2 linked regions of the Bombyx mori genome follow. The protein of the gene in region 1 purifies or fractionates together with the protein of each later gene. This does not show direct contact. Links are inferred from orthologs where the notes say so. Each region holds a gene or a part of one and is shown in the gene's direction. Other genes may lie near its edges.

Evidence for each region.
Region 2: the proteins of peroxiredoxin (region 1) and BmDJ-1beta fractionate together in Homo sapiens (co-fractionation; 3 studies listed by BioGRID). This does not show direct contact. The link is inferred for Bombyx mori from reciprocal best matches to the Homo sapiens genes PRDX5 and PARK7.

What each region holds. Positions count from the first base shown.
Region 1 is NC_085118.1:970,056-974,586, forward strand, and holds the start of peroxiredoxin, read left to right. Parts: upstream 1-1,518; 5' UTR 1,519-1,621; intron 1,622-1,849; 5' UTR 1,850-1,917; coding exon 1,918-2,022; intron 2,023-2,091; coding exon 2,092-2,358; intron 2,359-4,531. Other genes in the region: transportin-3, read right to left, coding at 1-93, 204-317. UniProt on the Homo sapiens protein: Thiol-specific peroxidase that catalyzes the reduction of hydrogen peroxide and organic hydroperoxides to water and alcohols, respectively.
Region 2 is NC_085129.1:16,172,289-16,176,805, forward strand, and holds BmDJ-1beta (DJ-1 beta), read left to right. Parts: upstream 1-1,434; 5' UTR 1,435-1,436; coding exon of another isoform or gene 1,437-1,440; coding exon 1,441-1,527; intron 1,528-2,566; coding exon 2,567-2,686; intron 2,687-3,125; coding exon 3,126-3,240; intron 3,241-3,611; coding exon 3,612-3,757; intron 3,758-4,304; coding exon 4,305-4,409; 3' UTR 4,410-4,413; downstream 4,414-4,517. UniProt on the Homo sapiens protein: Multifunctional protein with controversial molecular function which plays an important role in cell protection against oxidative stress and cell death acting as oxidative stress sensor and redox-sensitive chaperone and protease.

The sequences.
Region 1 (4,531 bases):
AATTTTCGCTCTCATCGTTTGTGCCGCGAAATAACAGGAATTGAAGTCCTTTTTTTGCTGCAACAACTCGTCGGCAATCTTCCATGAGTGGATCTGTGAGGAATTTTAGGTTATGTACATTTTCATGTTATATTAATATAATGAACTCAATCAAATCACTAATCCCAAGTTGAATAAAAATAAGTACACAATTTAATACTTACGGATTTCTGTACATCGGCGAGCCATAGCGAAGCCTTCTCAATTTCATTTCCATTTGGGCCATCGTACAGAGCGCTGATCGCCTGGTAAACAGTGTCCATTGAAGGAGCATCCATCGTGGAGATTTAAATTCTTATACTAATCTCAACCCCACACTTTTCTGGTGCATAAAATGTTACTTTTCATATCTACTTAAGAAAGTATTGTTTCGAATCAAATTTGATTACAAAAAGAAACTCAAAACGAAACGACAACGAACCACAAATTGCAAATGACAGATGACAGATTCGAGTCAGTCAGCAGGGCTGAGCTCGAAACCGCATTGACTTGATTCAAGTTGACTGGAAAACGAAGTTGTAATATTTTAATTTACCTACCTATTAAGTCTGCTCAACCCAAACAAGTAGCATTGAGATTTTCTTCCTACAAAAAATAGATCTTAACGTTAGTGTAATTTAATTCTTGGGATGTAATCATCTGACAATACTTTACAGGTTCAAACATATTCAGGGGACAAAACTTGAGCAGTAGACCGTATCCCTATTTTAAGAAGATTGATTAAAAACTTATTTTTTACAATCATTATATGATAAATAACGACAGAAAGACACGTAGAGAAAGATGTAGAAATCAAACGAGTAGTTTGTCTTACCGCGTAAAATACCGCTTGATTAATGAAATGATTTGATAATGACCAAATCCTAGAAAATTTAAATAATTAAAAAACGTTTTTTTTATTGCCCTTGTAGACAGACGAGCATACGGCCCACCTGATGGTGAGTGGTTACCGTCACCCATGGACTTCAGCAATGCCAGGGGCAGAGCCAAGCCGCTGTCTACCGAGGTTAAGTATAAAGAATCATATCAAGTTTGTTCTTGAAACATACAATTTAGTTATTTTGTTATGCTATTAAACCACTATTAATATTATTAATTTTTTTCTTAATTGAGTTATAATATATATCCGAAAGAAGTTATTATTATTTACTTATAGTGATTATTATTAATAATTACTGTGAAATATTAATTAATTTCTGATAATCTATGATGTAGATTTAAATCAGTAGCTGGTATAATAACAGTGGATATATGATTCATTTAAGCCCAAAGAGTATCGATGAAATGTATTGGTACAGCACCGTGGAGTCATTGTTAAAAGTTTTAATTTTCTAACTATTTGGCAGCAAAAATGGTTGGTTTTTTAAGAGTTTGTGGCGACTAAAAGGTCAATTCCACATTTACGTAGAAAGACTTCAACCTATTTGGAGATATTCGAAAAATACAGGGAAGATGACAAAACAAAATATAATGTAAAAGGCTTTTTTTAAACGAATTGAGAAAATAATAGAAATACGTACTATATAATTATGCGCGCTCCATTACTGAGACCCTTTATAAAAAAAATATTCATTACTCTATTCTTTCGGGCTTAGTAAACTTTAGACCTTACCTTTTGGCTTAAGCCAGGAACGAAAGCACATTAGAGCATCTAGGTATTTATTAATATTAACCACTGAATTTTTATAGTGTATGTACCCTTGTTCTGTTTCATAATGCAAAGCGTCGTCATGACGGCCGAATGACATTTGACAGCTTGACATAAAAGTTATCAAAGTTGTGAAGGTCATGAACTTTTATCATCTGTTAACTTACGATCGATATAACAAAATAAATAATAAGTAAGGTAACTACCATAGTAAAAACTTCTACCTTCTAATGTTTCTCACAGGGTCTTCGATTATCCGTGGCATTACCGCATTCACCAATCGAGCGTCAGCGCGAGCACTTCACATTTCACAATTAAGCATGGCACCAATTAAGGTAAATTATTTAAGAAAAAAGACTTTTTGGAATTACATAACAGGTTTTTTTCAAGTGTTTTACTTCAAGGTCGGGGATCAGCTGCCTGCTGCTGATTTATTCGAAGATTCTCCCGCTAATAAGGTGAATATTTGTGAGTTGACGGCGGGAAAGAAGGTTGTATTATTTGCGGTGCCGGGCGCCTTCACCCCGGGATGTTCTAAAACACACTTGCCGGGATACGTACAGAACGCAGATAAACTGAAATCGGATGGAGTTGCTGAAATAGTGTGCGTGTCTGTTAATGACCCGTATGTGATGGCGGCTTGGGGAGCTCAGCACAACACTAAAGGAAAGGTAATTCCTTCATACAAATATATTATTTACGTCATTCTCTTGTTTAAATTTTTCAATGAGATATATTAACATTGAGGTACCAAAATATTTATAATGCGAAATGTATTTAAGCATATATCTATAGATCCAGTAACCACCATTTTAATACTGCCACGTGTCTTGAGGACTGACATTGGATTCACGGTTACATTGTAATATTTGTTATACCCTCTAAATTGAATGCAAGCTTGCTTAATAGTAAAATGTTTTTACTCGAATAATAATTGCTTCAAATTATTTTCATTTACTTATCTGAATTTTTTATTTTGATTTTGTTAATTTATTTTTATCAAAAGTGAAAACAACCTGAAAATAGTTTTTCTGCTACCTACACAGTATCGCAATCAAATATATCTAACATATTACTGAGTGGAATTTAATTTAGTATTTTCTTTGATTTTCGGGGGGATCTTTGCATTAAGTAAAACTTATTTTATGGTTTATAAATTTATTTTATAATTAATTATTACCTATTTTATATTCATAGTTCTATAATATAATAAATACCAAACAGTTTTTAAGTCGTGGGTAATGATTACAATATTGTGCTTCTAATTTACCTGAAACCTACCTACTTGTTTCTGATAAAATATACAATGATCAAATATTAATGACATGACCTACTATTTAAATGATTAACGTAAATAAAGAACAATACCTTGAATTAACTTATTTACGACAATAAATAAAAAAGGTTCTGTTAGTAATCGTTCCGTTGTGACCTTCTCACAGTCACAACAGTATAAGACCTTGTTACCAATAAATTTTAAGAGAGTATTTTGTCTATTGATATTACATCGAATCAATGTTTTTTGAATGTGCGGATTACTGAAATGCATAAATGGTGGTGGTATGGTGTAAGCGGACATGGGTAGGTACCATTCCTGTCCCTCTATAGGTAGATATAACTAACTATACTTGAGACCTTAGAACTTATATCTCAAGGTGGGTGGCGCATTTACGTTGTGGATGTCTATGGGCTCCAGTAAACACTTAACACCAGGTGGGCTGTGAGCTCGTCCACCCATCTAAGCAATAAAAAAAAAGATAGTTAGGTAGGACTGCTATTATACAATACAGTTGAGTAGATCTTTGTAGTGCAGTAAACACAAAACACAAGGCAGTTTACTCACTCATCTGAATATATAATAAAAACTGAGTATACAACATACATATTAATAATATGTATTATTTGTAATTAGTGATTTTAAAATTACAAGAGCCATATTTAATGAAAAAATGTCCAAAAGCTTATTATGAACGTGGGAGCTGTTATCAGACGTTATAAGAAGTTATGAGGTCGTCTACAGGGCAGCGGCGACCGTGCCATGACCAGTGTGTATATGTGACAAAACAATAGCAGTGTGTGTCATCATCACATTTTTTTTTGTGTTGAATTTTTGCCCGCAACAGAGTAATCGCGATTGCGGTATTACAAATAGTATAACATAAAAAGTAGGTGTGTGAACTAGTGCAACTGCTATATCGATCCCACGGCAGGTGGCACGTAAAAGTTTAACTATGTAGATAAATAGTTATTGAGTTGGCAGTGAAGCCAGTCTTAGTTAAAATGAGGTCGGAGTCTATATTCACCATTCAATCTGGAGCGTATGATAGTTTTTCGGCAGACAAGACATTTTTTAGTTATAGATGAGCCGACAAGCTGATTTTCTTAACAAGCTAATCTTCTACGGTAGGCAGCGGCTTGGCTCTACCCCTGGCAAAAAACAAAAAAAAAACCTTGAGTAGCCACATCTTATCGAAAAAGTATAATTAGGTACATTGTAATAACGGCTCTACAATAACTATTGACATCGAGGCGGTAGTTAGCTACTGCTTAGCTCTTTATGTCTATGACTCTCTTGGGATGTAATTGTGGTTCCCACGTCCTTCCCCATCAGTATTTCGAAGGGATTTAGTCCTTCACGGCAACTGGTCCCGCTCCGGGTCTCTAGTTGGATCCGGGGGCTGGGTTATTTCCCGCCGCCCAGTGTTCGGCGTTGACGTTTTACGGTAGGAATGTCCAGTTCTACTCAACCCTCCTCTTTTCTCATCCGGGCTTGGGACCGGCAATGTCAAGAGAAGGTAATTACGCGAAGTATGTACCGAATGTGTCTGGTTTGGCTTTTTCCAC
Region 2 (4,517 bases), on another chromosome or scaffold:
TAGTTTTTGTTTGAAATAGTTTAAATTTTGTGTTTTGAAGTTAACAAAAAACACGGTATCTGAACAGTTGCGATGTGTGAAAATTAGTGAGCAGGTAGTTTTGTTCTCTATTTTATAACACCACCTAGAATCAATGCGTTCATCCACAGTGCATTTCCATAGATATTTTTTGCCACTTACCTATGGTGCTTCCCGAAAGCACATATCCATAAAACGAGGCTTTTATACAGTACTTAGCGGTAGGCAGCGTTTTAGCTCTGCCCCTGGGAATGCTAATGTACATAGACGACGGTAACTTAAAAAGTAAAAAACAACGGAGCTTGCGAGTGCAGCCGCATGTTATGACTACGAACAATTTTGTTTACATAACAAACTGTGTCCCTACAGGTATATATAATATAATATAGATATAATAATATATTGTTTAGGTTGTCGTGATAGTTTTTTCTAAGACTCGCAACGTTGTTGATGCATCATGTCGTTTTTCGGTTTCAGACATCGTGTCAAATTTATATTCTGTGACGGCTACCGCTGTTTTGTGCGCTTGTAAGGTTAAAAAAGTGTAGGTACCTCCAAATTCTAGTGCTCCTATTAAGGACATAAATAAATCATAAAAACAATTTATGAACCTAAATAAAATTTGCAATGGAAAATGATTTGACAATATGTAGGTCTAAGAGACCACAATATGTTGATGGATGCTAATTGATGGATGCTAAAATATTTGTGGGTGTTTTATCAAGCTAAGTTCATTTCGTTACGGAACCCTTCATAGTGTAGACTGTTATACACTTGACGATATAGGTAATTTTTTACAATGTTTCGAGCATAGATAATTTGTTTACACCATACACAAATAACCTTAGGCCTTAGATGATAATAGTAACGACAATTAATTGACAATACCTACACAATTTCAAAGGCAAAGTAGGTAATTTACTCTCTTATACACAGTCTATTATCTATGTATACTAGTAGGTACCGTACTTAAATTTAATCAGAAATTGTCAACTCGTTCATAATTAATATTTAATTTAGTAGTTATGTACAAATATGTTTATTTAATAAATATCAAGTGTATTATCTATGGTTCTCATGTTGCTGTTGTCATTGTCTACTCGTTCTAATTTATTTTTAAAAACTCTTGCAAATTATAGAGCTTTTAAATCAAGGTACCGAACTGTTTTAGCGGAATTTAATTGCATAAGTGGCGTTAACTACATTCACATTATAATCTAGCCGTGAATCAAGTGAAAATACCTACCAAAATAGAGGATACAACAAATTGAACCGGCATTTAATTACCTTTAAGAAAACTTTAATTATACTTTTATCGTAATACCTACTGATTACATAATACAGAAATAAAAACTATGTAATTTGTTGTTTGCACACTACATGCTTTTCTGTTTTATATTAGTTTATTTTCATTTTAGAACAATGAGCAAGTCTGCGTTAGTGATTTTGGCGCAGGGTGCAGAGGAGATGGAGACAGTTATAACTGTTGATATGCTGAGACGAGGAGGGGTTTGTAGTCAATTAATTCATTAAATCCGTTGACTGAATTTCCTTAGTTGGATTGTAATTAGACTTTTGCTAATCGACATATTTCGCCCGTCATGTGGTCTTGACGATCTGATAATGTGATTCCAGATAGCTGACTCTCGCTCGTCAATAAAAACTAACACCCTTTTATCAACTATTCAGTTACAATGGTCGCCGGGTAATCATGATGCTACCACAGCTGTCAATGACAAAGTCTAAAATCTAAATGACAAATAGACCAACACCTCAGCTGATCACTGATTGATAGTATTAGCAATATAATATAAAACTTATAGCCCTAGTCTCCTATTACTATAGAAAATTTAGTGTATTCTAAAATTGCATAATGAAAATCGACCATAAATTATCAAATAGTTGAATACTAGATCACTGCTTAATTGTAAATCTTAATTAAACAATAAAAAGTTACTACTTACTATATACTGATCAATTGCTGTTCTACTCGAATGTGCATCAGTTGCGTAATTGTTGTCCACTCCCAACTGCAACATCATTGAAATAGTTTTTTCATATTATGTTATCATAATGATGTTATGTGTATAAGAGTTATACTATGGTATTGGTTTGAACACTAAGGGTAGGATTGAAATCATGAATCTTTAAAATATTATAATACTCGGAGAGCATCCATACTCATAAAGAATATTTTTACCTTTTTATCATTATCTTAAAGGACGAAATCCATAGAATTTCAAAGAAATTGTATCAGGAAAGGAAGTGAAAATGAATTGGCTATGAACAATAAAAGATACTATATTGCTAAAACAAAAGGACATTGTATCTAAATGATTTACAAAAGAGAAGCTGCCTTTATTGGAGGACGAACTCCCAGGTCTCACAGCACACCTGCACACAGCTCATGCTCATTGCAGATTCCATAGTAAACAAAACAAAGGTTACATTCTATACCCATGAGAAGGAATATCATAGTGGTATTCTAACCAATGAGTAATTTATTATTAAGCTTTTTTCTTATTGAAAAGACCTTATTTCCCCATAGGTAACAGTTACTCTAGCTGGCTTGGAAGGTTCATCTCCTGTGCTGTGCTCAAGGCAAGTGACTCTAGTACCTGATAAGTCACTGACTGAAGCCCTCGCTGAGAAACAACAGTATGATGCTGTGAGTATCCTTACCGTTATCTTATACAGCAAAGTTCATTTGCAACTGCAGAAACTACATCATTTCTAGAAAAAAATTACAATAGTACACCCAATTTCTATGTTAACATAATTTAGAACCTGAGAACCTTAGAACCTAGAATTATGCACCCCAGTTGTGATTTTAATGGCTAATGATTCTGTTCTATTAGGTTTATTAAACATTTAGACGTAGCATAGGCATGATCCAAAATAAGATTAGCTAGTGACAACCCATAATAACCGGGGCACGAGTCACGACCATCACCTAGCCACAAATTAGATTCCCTGTCTTGCACCACCGTTTCAGTTGAAGTTGAAGAAAATACTTGGCATCATCAACTACAATGAATGTTACTTTGACAGGCGTTATATAGCACTGCAGGTGTCACCTATAAAAATAAATAATTTTCTCCAAACAGGTGATTCTACCAGGAGGCTTAGAAGGATCAGACAGTCTCTCCAAATCCGAGAAGGTTGGTGCTCTGCTTAAAGACCACGAGGATAATGGGAAAATCATTGCTGCCATTTGTGCTGGTAAATGAATTACTAAAAATTTTTTTTAAGTTTGCTTCCAATTGAGTTTGGAATACTAATGTTACCAATGGATGTCATCATCATCATCATCATCACAACCGACACCTCCTCGCCACTCCTCACCCGTTCCCAATGGATATACTAATTTTAAATTTCTAAACTACATGTTGACTTATTAATATTTTGTCCCGGTAAAGTCAACAATAAGTACAGTTGATTGAATAAGCCAATAGAAACATTTGTTTATAGACATAAGAGAATTCTCTTTCAATAAGCAACTACGTAAATAAAATATTAAAAACTATCTAAGGAAATATCGCAACATATATAATGTCACAGACATAATATGTAATTAAATGTTACATTGGCAGCTCCCATAGCGTTTGCAGCCCACGGCGTGGCGAGGGGCCGGCGCGTGACGTCATACCCCAGCACCAGGGACAAGCTGTCGGCCGGCGACTACACGTACGTGGAGGGGGAGAGGGTGGTGGTGGACGGCAACGTGGTCACCAGCCGGGTCAGTGATCTTATTATAAAGCTATAGGGGTTAAAGTATGAAATTGCCGTTCTATTGTAATAGGCACTCCAAATTGACATAGAACTTTTGAGTGAAACTTTTTTCAAATGGTACCTATAGGGTTCTTCTTTTGAAAAATGTGCAACATTCGATTATCGATTTTTAGTAGTTGACTCGATTCATGAATCGATCTTCACCATTATTGCTCCATGATAACGCGAGACCTCATACAGCACGAGAAACCGTTTTAACTCTACAGGAACTGCAATTAGGAATCATTTGTCATCCTCCGTATTCGCCAGACCTTGCTCCAACGGACTACCATTTTTTTCGTGATTTGGACAATTTTGTACATGGTAAAGAAAAACTTCGCAGTTTGTAGAATCTAGATCACCAGAGTTCTATCGCAAATAAATGACTTTCCTATTAGATGGCAGCAAAGTATAGATAATAACGTCATCAACAGATGACGTGGATTGATCAGTATGAGGGTCCCCTGAGGTCACGCTGTCCCTCCCTGTGTAACGCGGTCCTGTATGTTCCCCAGGGTCCCGGCACGGCGTACTGGTTTGGTTTAACCCTCATCGAGTTGCTGACGGGAAAGGAAAAGGCCGATCAAGTCGAAAAGGGAATGTTAATCTCGCAGTACTAATATTATTAAACAATAATAACACGGGAATATATTATGTAATATTATAAGGAGTTAAAAAAAAAACCATGTGTTTTTTTTCCGCTGGATTTTATTATTTATTTTAAATGA